Linked DNA regions of Drosophila melanogaster. The protein of the gene in region 2 interacts with the protein of the main gene of each other region in a biochemical or structural test. Each region holds a gene or a part of one and is shown on either strand. Other genes may lie near its edges.

The links. Proteins that work in one complex are often made in the same cells at the same time.
Region 1: of the proteins of BRWD3 (region 2) and cry, one has a biochemical effect on the other in vitro, tested with the Drosophila melanogaster proteins (one study listed by BioGRID).

What each region holds. Positions count from the first base shown.
Region 1 is NT_033777.3:19,210,275-19,216,230, reverse strand, and holds cry (cryptochrome), read right to left. Parts: upstream 4,078-5,956; 5' UTR 3,891-4,077; coding exon 3,749-3,890; intron 3,673-3,748; exon of another isoform or gene 3,504-3,672; intron 2,748-3,503; coding exon 2,404-2,747; intron 2,248-2,403; coding exon 1,328-2,247; intron 1,092-1,327; coding exon 869-1,091; 3' UTR 789-868; downstream 1-788. UniProt on the Drosophila melanogaster protein: Blue light-dependent regulator that is the input of the circadian feedback loop. Has no photolyase activity for cyclobutane pyrimidine dimers or 6-4 photoproducts.
Region 2 is NT_033777.3:24,316,843-24,322,091, reverse strand, and holds the start of BRWD3 (BRWD3), read right to left. Parts: upstream 3,093-5,249; 5' UTR 2,978-3,092; coding exon 2,935-2,977; exon of another isoform or gene 2,684-2,934; coding exon 2,625-2,683; exon of another isoform or gene 2,501-2,624; coding exon 2,471-2,500; exon of another isoform or gene 2,310-2,470; intron 2,076-2,309; coding exon 2,016-2,075; intron 1,425-2,015; coding exon 1,178-1,424; intron 1,117-1,177; coding exon 309-1,116; intron 230-308; coding exon 133-229; intron 69-132; coding exon 1-68. Other genes in the region: Nab2 (nuclear polyadenosine RNA-binding 2), read left to right, coding at 3,836-3,877, 3,971-4,196, 4,251-5,249.

The DNA of each region.
Region 1 (5,956 bases), 5.1 Mb from region 2:
TTCGTTTGTTGATTGAATTGGTTGGTTCCATTATTTATTCAGCTATCGTATATTACGCAATGTGTGTGTGTGTGAAATTTACATTTACCAGAAAAATAACTTTTTGCCAAGCAACGCTCTAAATGTTTACTCGAATTTACTTCAACTAATTCGCAGGATGTCGAATGTCTAAAACGAATGCTTACTTCCTACAAAGGACTATTGCGATTAAGTCGCTGGTAGGGGAATGAGCGAAAAGCTCGGCGTGGTCGAGTTTAGATTTTCTCAAACTTTATTTGTAGCAAACTGTCGAGGGACTCAAACTTCAACAATAACTCCTTTTAGGTCCCATCAACCCCTACCAATATCTCATTCGAAAGGCACACATCTAGAAGGAACACCAAAATTTAGGCATTAAAATAAAATATACACAACAATTTAGACAAATTATAAAGATAGAATCTCTCATTAAACGAAAGGCAAACGAAGCCAGGATCAATAGATCGACATAAAATAAATTTCAATATTTGAAATACTTCGCGTTCAATTTTTCTCGTATGAAAGACCCAATTAAAAGCAAAAACTATTTAATTAATGCTGTTAATTAACGTATAATTTGACAACGTAATACAGATGATAATAATAATTATATATATATACACCATAAACGATTTTTAAAATAAGCTGAATAAAATTGATATATGAGTAACACGTTATAAGCTGTTAAAAGTAAAACGAAACCAAATAAAACGGATACAAATTGTATTGTAGTACTTATTTTAATTGAAGAAAATAAAGCATTATTAATTATATATAATATTTCACTGGTAATAGTTTCTTTATTGTGAAATCGAATTAAAATTGGATTGGTCATCCCACTTGTACTCCTTCAAACCACCACGTCGGCCAGCCAGAAGAACTGACGCACTTCCTCCTCGTTGGATGGTCGGCAATGCGGCGGCGGGGTGATCAGCGAATTTCGGAGAGACTTCATGGCCAGCATGTTTCGCTTTACGGCCATGGACAAATCAATGATCCGCTCCGGATAATGGACTCCGATCAGGCACTCGTACTGCTCCTGCTGCTCGGCAGACATTCGCCAGGGCTCGTGACTGAAAATATAAAATGGGATTTATAATTTAAAAAATATAACAAAAGCACGAATAAACGAATTAAAAATATATATAGTTCAAATGGTTGCTTGAGATTGTTGAACACTTTAACGAATCATAAGTAAAGACGACAAAGGAGTCATCATATATTGCGTATACGACAAGTATACCATCAGTATTTTTATTATATCTAAGTACTTAAATTGTTATATGGAATTTTCATTATATAAACTTACACAAATTCCTTGGGCACATTCATCAACTCCGGGACGTACTGCTTGATGTAGGTGCCATCCGGATCAAGTCGCTTGGCCAATGCCACCGGGCAGGTGACCAGGGAGGAGTCCAGCAGCCTTTCAAACGCCGAGCTGGATACCCACATCCAGTTGCCAGCGCAGACCGACCAATCCGCATCCAGCAGATACTTCAGAAAGTGCTGCAGTCCATGCTCCCAGCTCTGCCACAAACCGCCGCGCGTGAGAAAGGTGGCCACGGTGTTGCGCAGCGTATGGTGGAGCCATCCCTCGGCCAGGAGTTGTCGCATGGCGCCGTCGATGAGCGGGAATCCCGTTTGGCCTAAACGCCAGCTCTGCAGGAGATTTTCGTTCGGCTTAGCCCACGGGATGCTCAGGCAGATGTCATTGCCCTCCATGCGATCGTAGTTTGGATTGTTCACCGACATGGTGTAGAAGTACTCTCGCCAGATCAACTGTCCCGTGATGTGCGCGCCGCCAGTCATCTGAACGCCCCGCACACAGGCGCGCAACTGGACATTCTTGAAGAGATCGTGGACGCTCCAGTAGAAGCGACGTACCGAAAGGCAACCAAAGCGCAGATGGGCGCTCATCGATTTTGGCGAGTCGTGGATATTGGGCAGTGCCTGGTTGGGCAGATAAAATCCACGCTCAAACGCATGCTGCTCCACTTTAAGACGCTCATCCAACAGAAGTAAGGCCTGTGTTTCTCCGCCGCGCCAGTTAATCTTGGCCAGGAAGCCCATGTTGTCTCCATACACATTGAAGTGCTCCGGCGTGGGCAGCTGCTCGAACAACTTAAGACTTCGGCAGAACTCGGGGTCCAGCTCGACAAAGGTGGCGTCTTCTAGTCGAGCATCGGCGGTGGGACGCGGTGGAAGCCCAATAATTTGCACCGTGTGCTAAAACATAATAAAATAAACGAAAATATAATTTGATGTAAATAATTAGTATCTTTCAGTGACTATATAATTTTCAGATAGTTATATTTTTACATTTATTTTAAAGATATATTCTCAAAAGAATATTATAACTAGAGAACTGAGCTTTAAACTCACCAGGAACATTTGGTAGGTCAGCGGTGGAATGCCACCATTGGTCTCAATCACCAATTGCGGATCCCAAAGCGTGTGTGATACCTTCTCGACAAAGTCGATATTCAGCTCCCGACATAGAGAACGGATGCTTTCATCGCGCTCATTCCAAATTGGCTCGCAGTCCTGCTCTATGCAAATCCTGTGCAGACGCACTTGCTCATGTAGCCGGCGGAAGATATAAGCCGGTTCGCCCTCGAAGACCAGGAGGCGTCCACGTCCATCAGTTGCCGCCTGTAGCTGATCATCGATGTCCTGCAACGAGTCCAGGAGGAAACGCATCCGATTGTAACCCACATTCTTGGTACCTGTTAAGGAAGAGCATTTAACGGTTTTATAAGATTTATAAATTTAAAAAAAATTATGCATTTTCAAAGTTTTTTCGTGCACAATTTTCGCAAAACTAGGAATTCAAAACAAGTTTGTGTGTTTAAGTGCCACCTTTTAGATAAATTTTCAGCTTTTGTGCAAACAAATGGTTCAGTTTAGCCCATTTTCCATTGTAATATTTGTTTTCACGCTTTTACCCACAAAACGACGCTTATCGGTCAAGTGATGGGTTCTATAGGTATCCCCGTTTCTCGCCGACTTTTTCCGTGAGCGAGCTGTTTAAACACAAGCATTATACTGCTATTCTGGTTTGCACTCAATGTCTCTACCCATTTTGCATTGTCTTTCTATATCTCTCTCCCAGCGATTCGACGGAAAATTCTCAAAACCGCCAGCCACAAATGGCATTAGGGCGCATCGTTTGTTTTGCTCTACCATGCAAAAGTGCATTAGGTTTTCCCTCCATTTTCCGCCCCTGCAGCTCTCGCCCTCTTTCCATTTTCACAAGCAGCGAAAACGCTGAATTCGCAGCGGTCGCGGAAAGAGGTGGTATGTGATAACCGATGCAAGTCGCAAAAAATGATATTAGCTCATACGGAGAATGAGCGTGTAATAGCAATCAAACTAAAAGTATTTATTTTAACCCTCTGTTGCCAACGGTTTTTTATTTTAATTTTGTTGAATTTTCAAACTCTTTCCAAAAATCTATTTTTACACAAACTTCTGATGATTTTGTATGAGCAAATATATATAGATATAATATTTTATCTTTGATGTTTTGCTATCTATTAATTATTTTAAGATTATCTTAATATTTTAAATATATCTCCATGAGATATCCATATCTCATATAAAAGTTTTGAAGTAATAACTTAGGAAAGTGCAAGGTAAGTTCAAGGTTACCTGTAATCAATTTAATTTGGATACCTACATGTATGTGTGCGCAACGAAATAAAATTTTCGAAAACTCAGTTCTTACCTGCACTCTCTCCATCGAATATGAAAACGGGAATTAGGGCTATACCCTGATCCTTATCGGCGAGGGCGGCCAATAGAGCGGGATTATCATGGAGGCGCAATCCATGGCGAAACCAAATCACATTCGCCCCTCGCGTGGCCATCAGTGAGGAGTTCCCTGCTTTTGGGCTTCAAAAATCTCCCGAATCCCAGTTTTGATCGGGAAGAACAGTTTTCCAGCTGATGAAAAGATTTTCTTTTTTCCGCACTCACGATTCGCTCGCGCCGGCAACTAATTGACGAATGAGAATGTGAATGCGAAATTTGAGTGCTGAGAACGTTTCTACAACTGCAGCTCAACGTTCCCCGTGTTCGGCGTTATAAGCTAAAATGAATCGCATAAGTACGGTGAGTGCAACAGAGATGGCGAGAAAGAGACCTGTGGGAACCGCACACTGAAAAAAAGTACTTACTTCCATATATTATATATATTATAACCAAAGTTTAAGTTGGGCAAAACCAAACGCAGGCTAAAACTAAGAGTGTTCTATAACATCCAAATATCGTTTTTGTTTTTGTTATTGTTTATATTTTGAATTTCTATGCATATTTAGTATTAAAACTCGTTATAATGGCTGCGAGAAAAGATTCGAGAGTTGATAAGGATTTTGCGGACATGCATATTTTCTCCCAGTGTAGAAGCGTGTACTGTGAATCGGTAACTAGAAACAGCCCGTTCAAGTGCGTCAATACAAAGCTGTCGATCTGTATGTGTGTGTGTGTGTGTGTGCGAAGGGGCGACTGTGTGCTTGGGTGCTTGTGTGAGCATAAGTGTGGCACTCTGCCCACGGTTGCCTGCACTTCTAGCTCTGCGCCGAGAACGAGCCGAGCCCCCACCCCGAATCGACCCCCAGCTGACTGTCCCACCCCTTCTTCCCTTCGCTCTCACAGTGGGGCACTGCGTTCTGAGCACACAGAACCAGAAACTGAACCCAACTGTTGCCGCTTATGACGTGACGAGCTTTTGCAAGCACTCAACTCTGCAGTGGGATCGAGATGGGCTGTTTGCATGCTTATACTTATCACTTTGAAGTAATAATTACCTATTTGGGTATATTTACTTGGTTGTTTATTATGAGTAAATACATTTAAGTTTAAATAGTTATAAGATTTATTGATTATTTGATTTGTGCTGTGCAGACATTCATTTGTAAAGCAAGTAAGTATCGCCCTAACTACAAAAGTAGGTTAGCCCATTCCTGGTTAGTTCTTCTACAAATTATACTGGAAATAGCTATTTTGGTAAGAAAAAGATGAAGATGGAAGATGAGCAATTCTAGATACCAGTATTCTCCTATCAATATTTCGAAAAACCAAATACACTTGAACATATAATAGAGTAGCTAATATTCGGTAGTGACGCACTTTTTGGTTATGGTCCTGCATTGGCATAGTTAGTTAACCCGAGCATGGGCCACAGCTCCTTTGCCAACTTTGAGTGAGCTTTTCCCCCATAAAAAAAAATCCCCGCACGTCGAATACCCAACATCGCTGGACAGTCCCAACGAGCCTTATTGTGAGTAAACTACGCACTTGCATCACAAAAACTTTAGCATTGCACATTGCATGTTGCCTAGACAACGACAACGACACCGACAGCAGCAGCAGCAGCAGCAGCAGCAGTAAAAACAAGAACAAGGACCAAATGGAGGCAACGTGCGTAACGGAATGTCAACTGCAAAGCTCGCCGATGCACGTGTCCTGGCAACAACAACAACGACAGGCGCTGCTTGCAACAATCGGGCGAGGAATTCAAATGATGACGACGACGATGATGAGCCTTCTGTGGCTGGACTATGGCCAAAACCAGGATTATAAGGGGGCGGGGGAAAGGAACAGTGGCAGAGGCAGAGTGAAACAGGGTCAAATGAACAATGAAGTGAAGTCGAAAGGTTTTGGACAAAAGAATTTTTCTTGCCTTGTTAGCTTTTATGAAACTAATTTACGTTCCTCGGTTGGGATTGAAATTTCGGAAATTTAAAGATTGAGAATAGCAAATACAATTACTTATACTCAAAGAACTCATATTGCTCATACGCCAGGTGGGTTTCTATTCACAATTTTCACTTCATTGACATGGACATTTTCGTATAGTTGGCATTTAATTTACGTTCAGGTCGAACTTTTCCAATAGAACTTGTCCCTTGCAAAGGAATACCCACTTACCCAT
Region 2 (5,249 bases):
TAAAGCTCATCCTTGTGCCCACGCAGAACACGATGCAGCTTGGCTGACTTCGAGTCCCAGATTTTTATCTGTTTTTAAATGGGATTATTAATTATAAGTAAATGTTTAGCACGTTTTAAGACGGATGCTTACAGTAAAATCGTTTACGGCGGTGATGACATAACGGTCCGAGGCATCCCAAGCCACCATGGTTACCTTAAGCCTCTTTCCCTCCTCTGGTTCCGGGCAGCTGCAATTTAATTACAAAGCTATTAGTTTTCAGAGAATTCCTTACTAGCTAGAAACATTTTAAAGAAAATCGCACTCACCTGGCCAGACGCTCCGTCATGCATAGTTTGGAACTTTTCCACTGCTGCGACTCAAACGTCCAGATGTGTGCTGTGCCGTCCTTGCTCCCCGATATAAATCTCAGTCCACGATGCGACCACTGCACCGAGTCCACGGCATCTGTGTAAGCTTCCGTCTCCAATATTCGCTTCGGACCGTCCTCGCCCATCATATAGACGCGCACATGGTGATCGGCAGACCCAGCGGCCAGAAAAATGCCTCCTGGCGAAAAGGTGGTACACATCATCTGAGCTTGTCCGGGCCGCAGTTTCTCATGATACTGCGTTGGCTTCGGGGCAAACGTGATCTTTTGCCCGCGCGGCGTTGAGTATTGCCAGAAGGCGATCGATCCATCTGTGCTGGTAGTCACCAGATATTTCAGATCGCTACGTGGCGACGGACAAAAGTTAACCGAAGTTATCATGCCCGTGTGAGCAGACAGTACGGCGATGGGTGATGTGGTTTGCATGTCCCACACTCTTAGTATGTGATCCAATGACCCGGCAGCCAGCATCGTATTGTCCAAGTTAATGGCTATGTCTGTAATCTCGGATGAGGCGCCTCGCAGAGTGGCCAGCAGGCGGCCATCTGCCGCTGACCATATCTTAATAAGTAGATCATCGGCTCCGGTGATGATGTATCTTCCTGTGCGATCAAACAGAACACAGTACACTGAGGACAGGTGGCCCACAGTGCGACGGAGCAATTTTGTTCGGCGGTAGAGGTCCGTGGGCACGAGGAGCTTGCGACGGACTTCCCCGCCGTGTTCCCGTCCAGTTAGAACGCGATCTTTGGAAATATAAATGGGTTAGTCTCTAATATGCGAATAAAACTCTACCATGCAACTAACCTAAGTTGTGGGTCGGCTTTGTAAGGACCGAATCCGGCAGCGAGACTCCATTCAGGCGGGTGCAGTAGTCCCTTAAGGAGCGATGGCAGTAGACGGTTTCCTTGGTGCGCAGGAGGTTCTGGCGCCCAGTACCCAACAGCGAGTTGATGCCCGGAACACTGGGCGGAAGCTCGCGATCCACCAGTGGACCCAGACGACTGCATATTTCAAGCAAGTGATTGGCGCCAATGTGCTTGTACTTTCGTTCCTGCGAATTCAAAATCAAAATTTAACGTATTCCTATCGATTGGGCGATAAACGGTGCGATAGCTTCAACAACGTATGCTTGTCTCGTTCCCTCGCGCACAAGTCAAGGCAAAGTGGTGGTTGCTTGCATGTGTCTGTGCGCATGGGCATGTGTATGTGTGAGAAACCAAAATGTCGGCTGGTTGCAGCTAATTGTTAAAACTAAATTACAAAGCATTTGTTTAAAAAATTAAGATTTTTCAAAATTTACAATTTTTACGAGGGTTTTAGAATTTTTGCTTTCCACTTTAGTCTTTTACGAATTTTTGCAATTTTTTGCTGCCTTTTTAATTAAATAGTTGCTTACTTATTTGTTAATTTAACAGTCAGAATGATTGATGTCTTTAGTTGTAATGTTTTTTAAATTAACAACTTGAATTTTGATGTGCAACTTTTTCTCTATTCCCTGACACGATGACGTCACAAAGGCGAGCGAACGACTGAGACGGAAAATGCCGCAGCAGACGCACACTTACGCAAGACTTAAATGCCGATCAAAAGGCATTAAACGATAACTTTGAAAAGCTAATTGATTAATTATGAAAACACTCACCAATTCCTCAAAGGTCTGCTCATGCTCGTTTCCCTGCCAATCGAGACGACGCGGCAAAACCTGGGAATCGAAAGGTGTACGTATATATAGACGGGTGTAAATATATATGCATGCATGTATGACTCTTATCACTTGCACTCCGTGACGTCGACGATGACGTCGCGGGGGCATCCCTATGATTCCATTTCTTTTTTCATGTTTTTCTCTTCTTTTTTTAATGGACTATATATTCACGTGGCCCCAGCAAATCCACAATTCAGTCTGATTCCCAACTCTGAGACAAGCGGACGTACAAGTGGGTTTTTCGTCGTTCGCTGCCGGCAGCAGAAACAACAACAAAACCAAAACAAAGCGTATAAACAAACGCGGTTTTCTATTTTTTTTTTGGCCCCCCTCTCAATTCGAGTCCGAAATATCTGTGCCAAAAACACAGCTGCAGCACCAACAAAACTCACCTTCTTCTCTTCGAGTTCCCGGATCAAGACCTACAGTTGGATAGAATTTAGTTTCAGAATTAATGTAAATGTTTGTAAACAAAACGAAATTCCGCTCTTTTAGCGCGAAATACGATTCCAATGCGATCTCGCGCGAGCGCTGCTTTCAACCCACCTTCGCCGTCTCCTCCAGCGGTCCCGCGGCCAGGAACTTGGAAATGAGGAAGTACAGCTCTGCAAGATAGAGGATTTCACGGGTTTTAGTGCAACAAGTTGTCGAAAATGCGCTCGCTGGGAGTCGTCAATATTCCAGATATATCTGGCCAAAGGGGCCCGTGAATTTCGCTTGGCGAAACGCAGTCGAAAAAACGCAGCCATTCGATTCGAAGGGCGAGCGAAACACAGACACACATTTCACAAAGTCAAAGGGGCTGCCTTTGGTAGCCCCGTTGGACGCACTCGCTGCGCCACCGGGCGGTACGCACCTGGCTTTAGATCATCACCGGAACTGGGTTGTCTAGTTTCCATTATTCATTGCGAATTGCAGCTCCGATTATGACAAAATTGCAGTTGCTTTCTTCTAAAATTCTTTTCGCAGCTTCTTCTTCCCGTGTGACACTCGATTGCCATTCCCACCGAATGAAATGCCTTTGCGTATCGATAGTTGGTGGCGGGGCTCACAAGATGGGTATCGAGTCTTAGCCGAAGGAGCCAATTTTCGTATTTGAATTTGAGATGATGCACTGAAATGCTTCGCAGGATTCTACAATCTAAGATATTTACTTCAAATTGAGAATTTTAATTCTCAGTCAAACATATTCGTAGCCATTGGTTTGGAATTTAAGCTTATTATGAAATTTATATTTAGCTATGTGATTAAATAAACTGTTTGCAATTATTCGCTTTTAATTTTCGAATGTAATTTAATAGCTACTACACAAATTCTTGATAACTAGACTTATGATTTAATGAATAACAAGTGAAATCTTTTTATATTTTTAAATTGTCCCATTGGTGTTGATTATTTTGAAGTTATGTTGCACTTCAGTTCATGGCCATGGCCAGGAGCATTTTTAAATTTCAGAAGTTTTTAATTTGCCATTTTAATTTCAAATGAAATTTCTGTAACTATTTATTATTTTAAAGCTATGTTTATAGAAAATCGATATATACATTATAAAACGTGTGAATTAAACGTGAATACCCTTAATGTCAAACGCACACCACTAGTTATGAATATCGGAGCAGCTGCGATATTTTTTTTTTTTGGGAGGTTTTGCCATTTTCTAATGTAACAAAAAGTGGAGTGTAGCCACAAAGTAAGCGTAAATAATAAATGCTCGCGGCGAATAAACAGCGAAAAAGGCGATAGATAAACCAGCAAACATGGAGTGCAATCTGGGCAGCGAGATTGGTCAGAAGATGCGCGTAAGTCATTGGAAAAAAATCAATGAACTCGTTATGGATACCGCTCGGATTGGATACTCCAATACTATATATATTTTTGCACTTCATTAATAGAGCGCCGTAAAGGCAAAGCTGCTGGAGCTGGGAACCGGAGGATCGGCCGGTTTTATAGACGATGAATTGCCGGACTACGTCATGGTCATGGTGGCCAACAAGCGCACCAAACAGCAGATGAACGCCGAGCTGAATCTATTCCTAGGCGATCAAACTGACCTCTTTGTCACCTGGCTGCACGAAGTGCTGCAAAAGCTCCAAGAGGTCACACTCCCCACATCCAGTGGTATGATGGATATGCTCATCATACTTAAGCACCCACTAACTCCAATTTTTTCAGCTTCCAGCAAGAAGCGCAAGTCTCGCGGTCAGGAGAAGGACAAAAAAGGATCCAAGAAGGATAAGCGACCGCACCGAAAGTCCGGAGATGAGCTGTCGGAACCACAGCCAAGTTCCTCAGATGCCATGCCAATTGTCAGTTCCATCACGGATGTTTTTGCCGAAGAGCTTCTCGAGAAGGCAAAGAAAACCATGGACATTGATCTCAGTGCCAAAGACGAGATCCTGCACAAAAAGAAAAATCGCAAGTCCATCGAGGATGAGGATGCATCGGCCAATAGGGCGCTGGATGTGCCCGCTGTGTCTGAGATCATCTCAACTACTATCGGTGTTAACCGGCAAAAAGACCTCGCTGAGCTGGCCGAAATCCAAAAGAAAATTCATGCAGCCAAGAAGCATTTACGCCAGATTGGCGAGATCGGGGATGAAAGCGATGAATATGATGAGGATCTGTTGAACTTGAGCGCGAGGGAGGAGTCTGTAGACCAGGAGCCAGAAGAGGATCCCCCGAAATTGGAGGCTCCACCACGAAAAGCTAAGAGCCCCATTATTTTTAACAGACGCGAGAAGACACCCGAAAAGCGTCCAGAGGCTGAACCGGAGATCGATTCCCGCCAGGAGGAGGCGGAGGAGAAGAGCCCCAAAAAAGATTCTTCGGCTGACAAGGCCAAGGAAGACCGGTCTGAAAGGCGATCGGTGCATGACCGTCTCGGTTCAAAGGCCCAAACGCCGGCAGATCGTTCGCAGCGCAACCAAAAGGAGCTCTATGTGCCGACCCATCGGCGACGGAGCGAACCCGAGGCCACCAAAGAGCGCAGTCAAAGAGAGCGCACCCGAGAACGACGCTCCAGCCGCGATACCTCTAGGGACACTAACCGTAATCAGCGCCAGCGTCGTTCGCCTAGTCCGGAGGCTCCAAGTACAAAGCAACGCATTGTCTCCCAAGTTATTGTGGCCGTTAACAAGCCACCGGAGCCGTCGGACGATGAGGATATGGCCG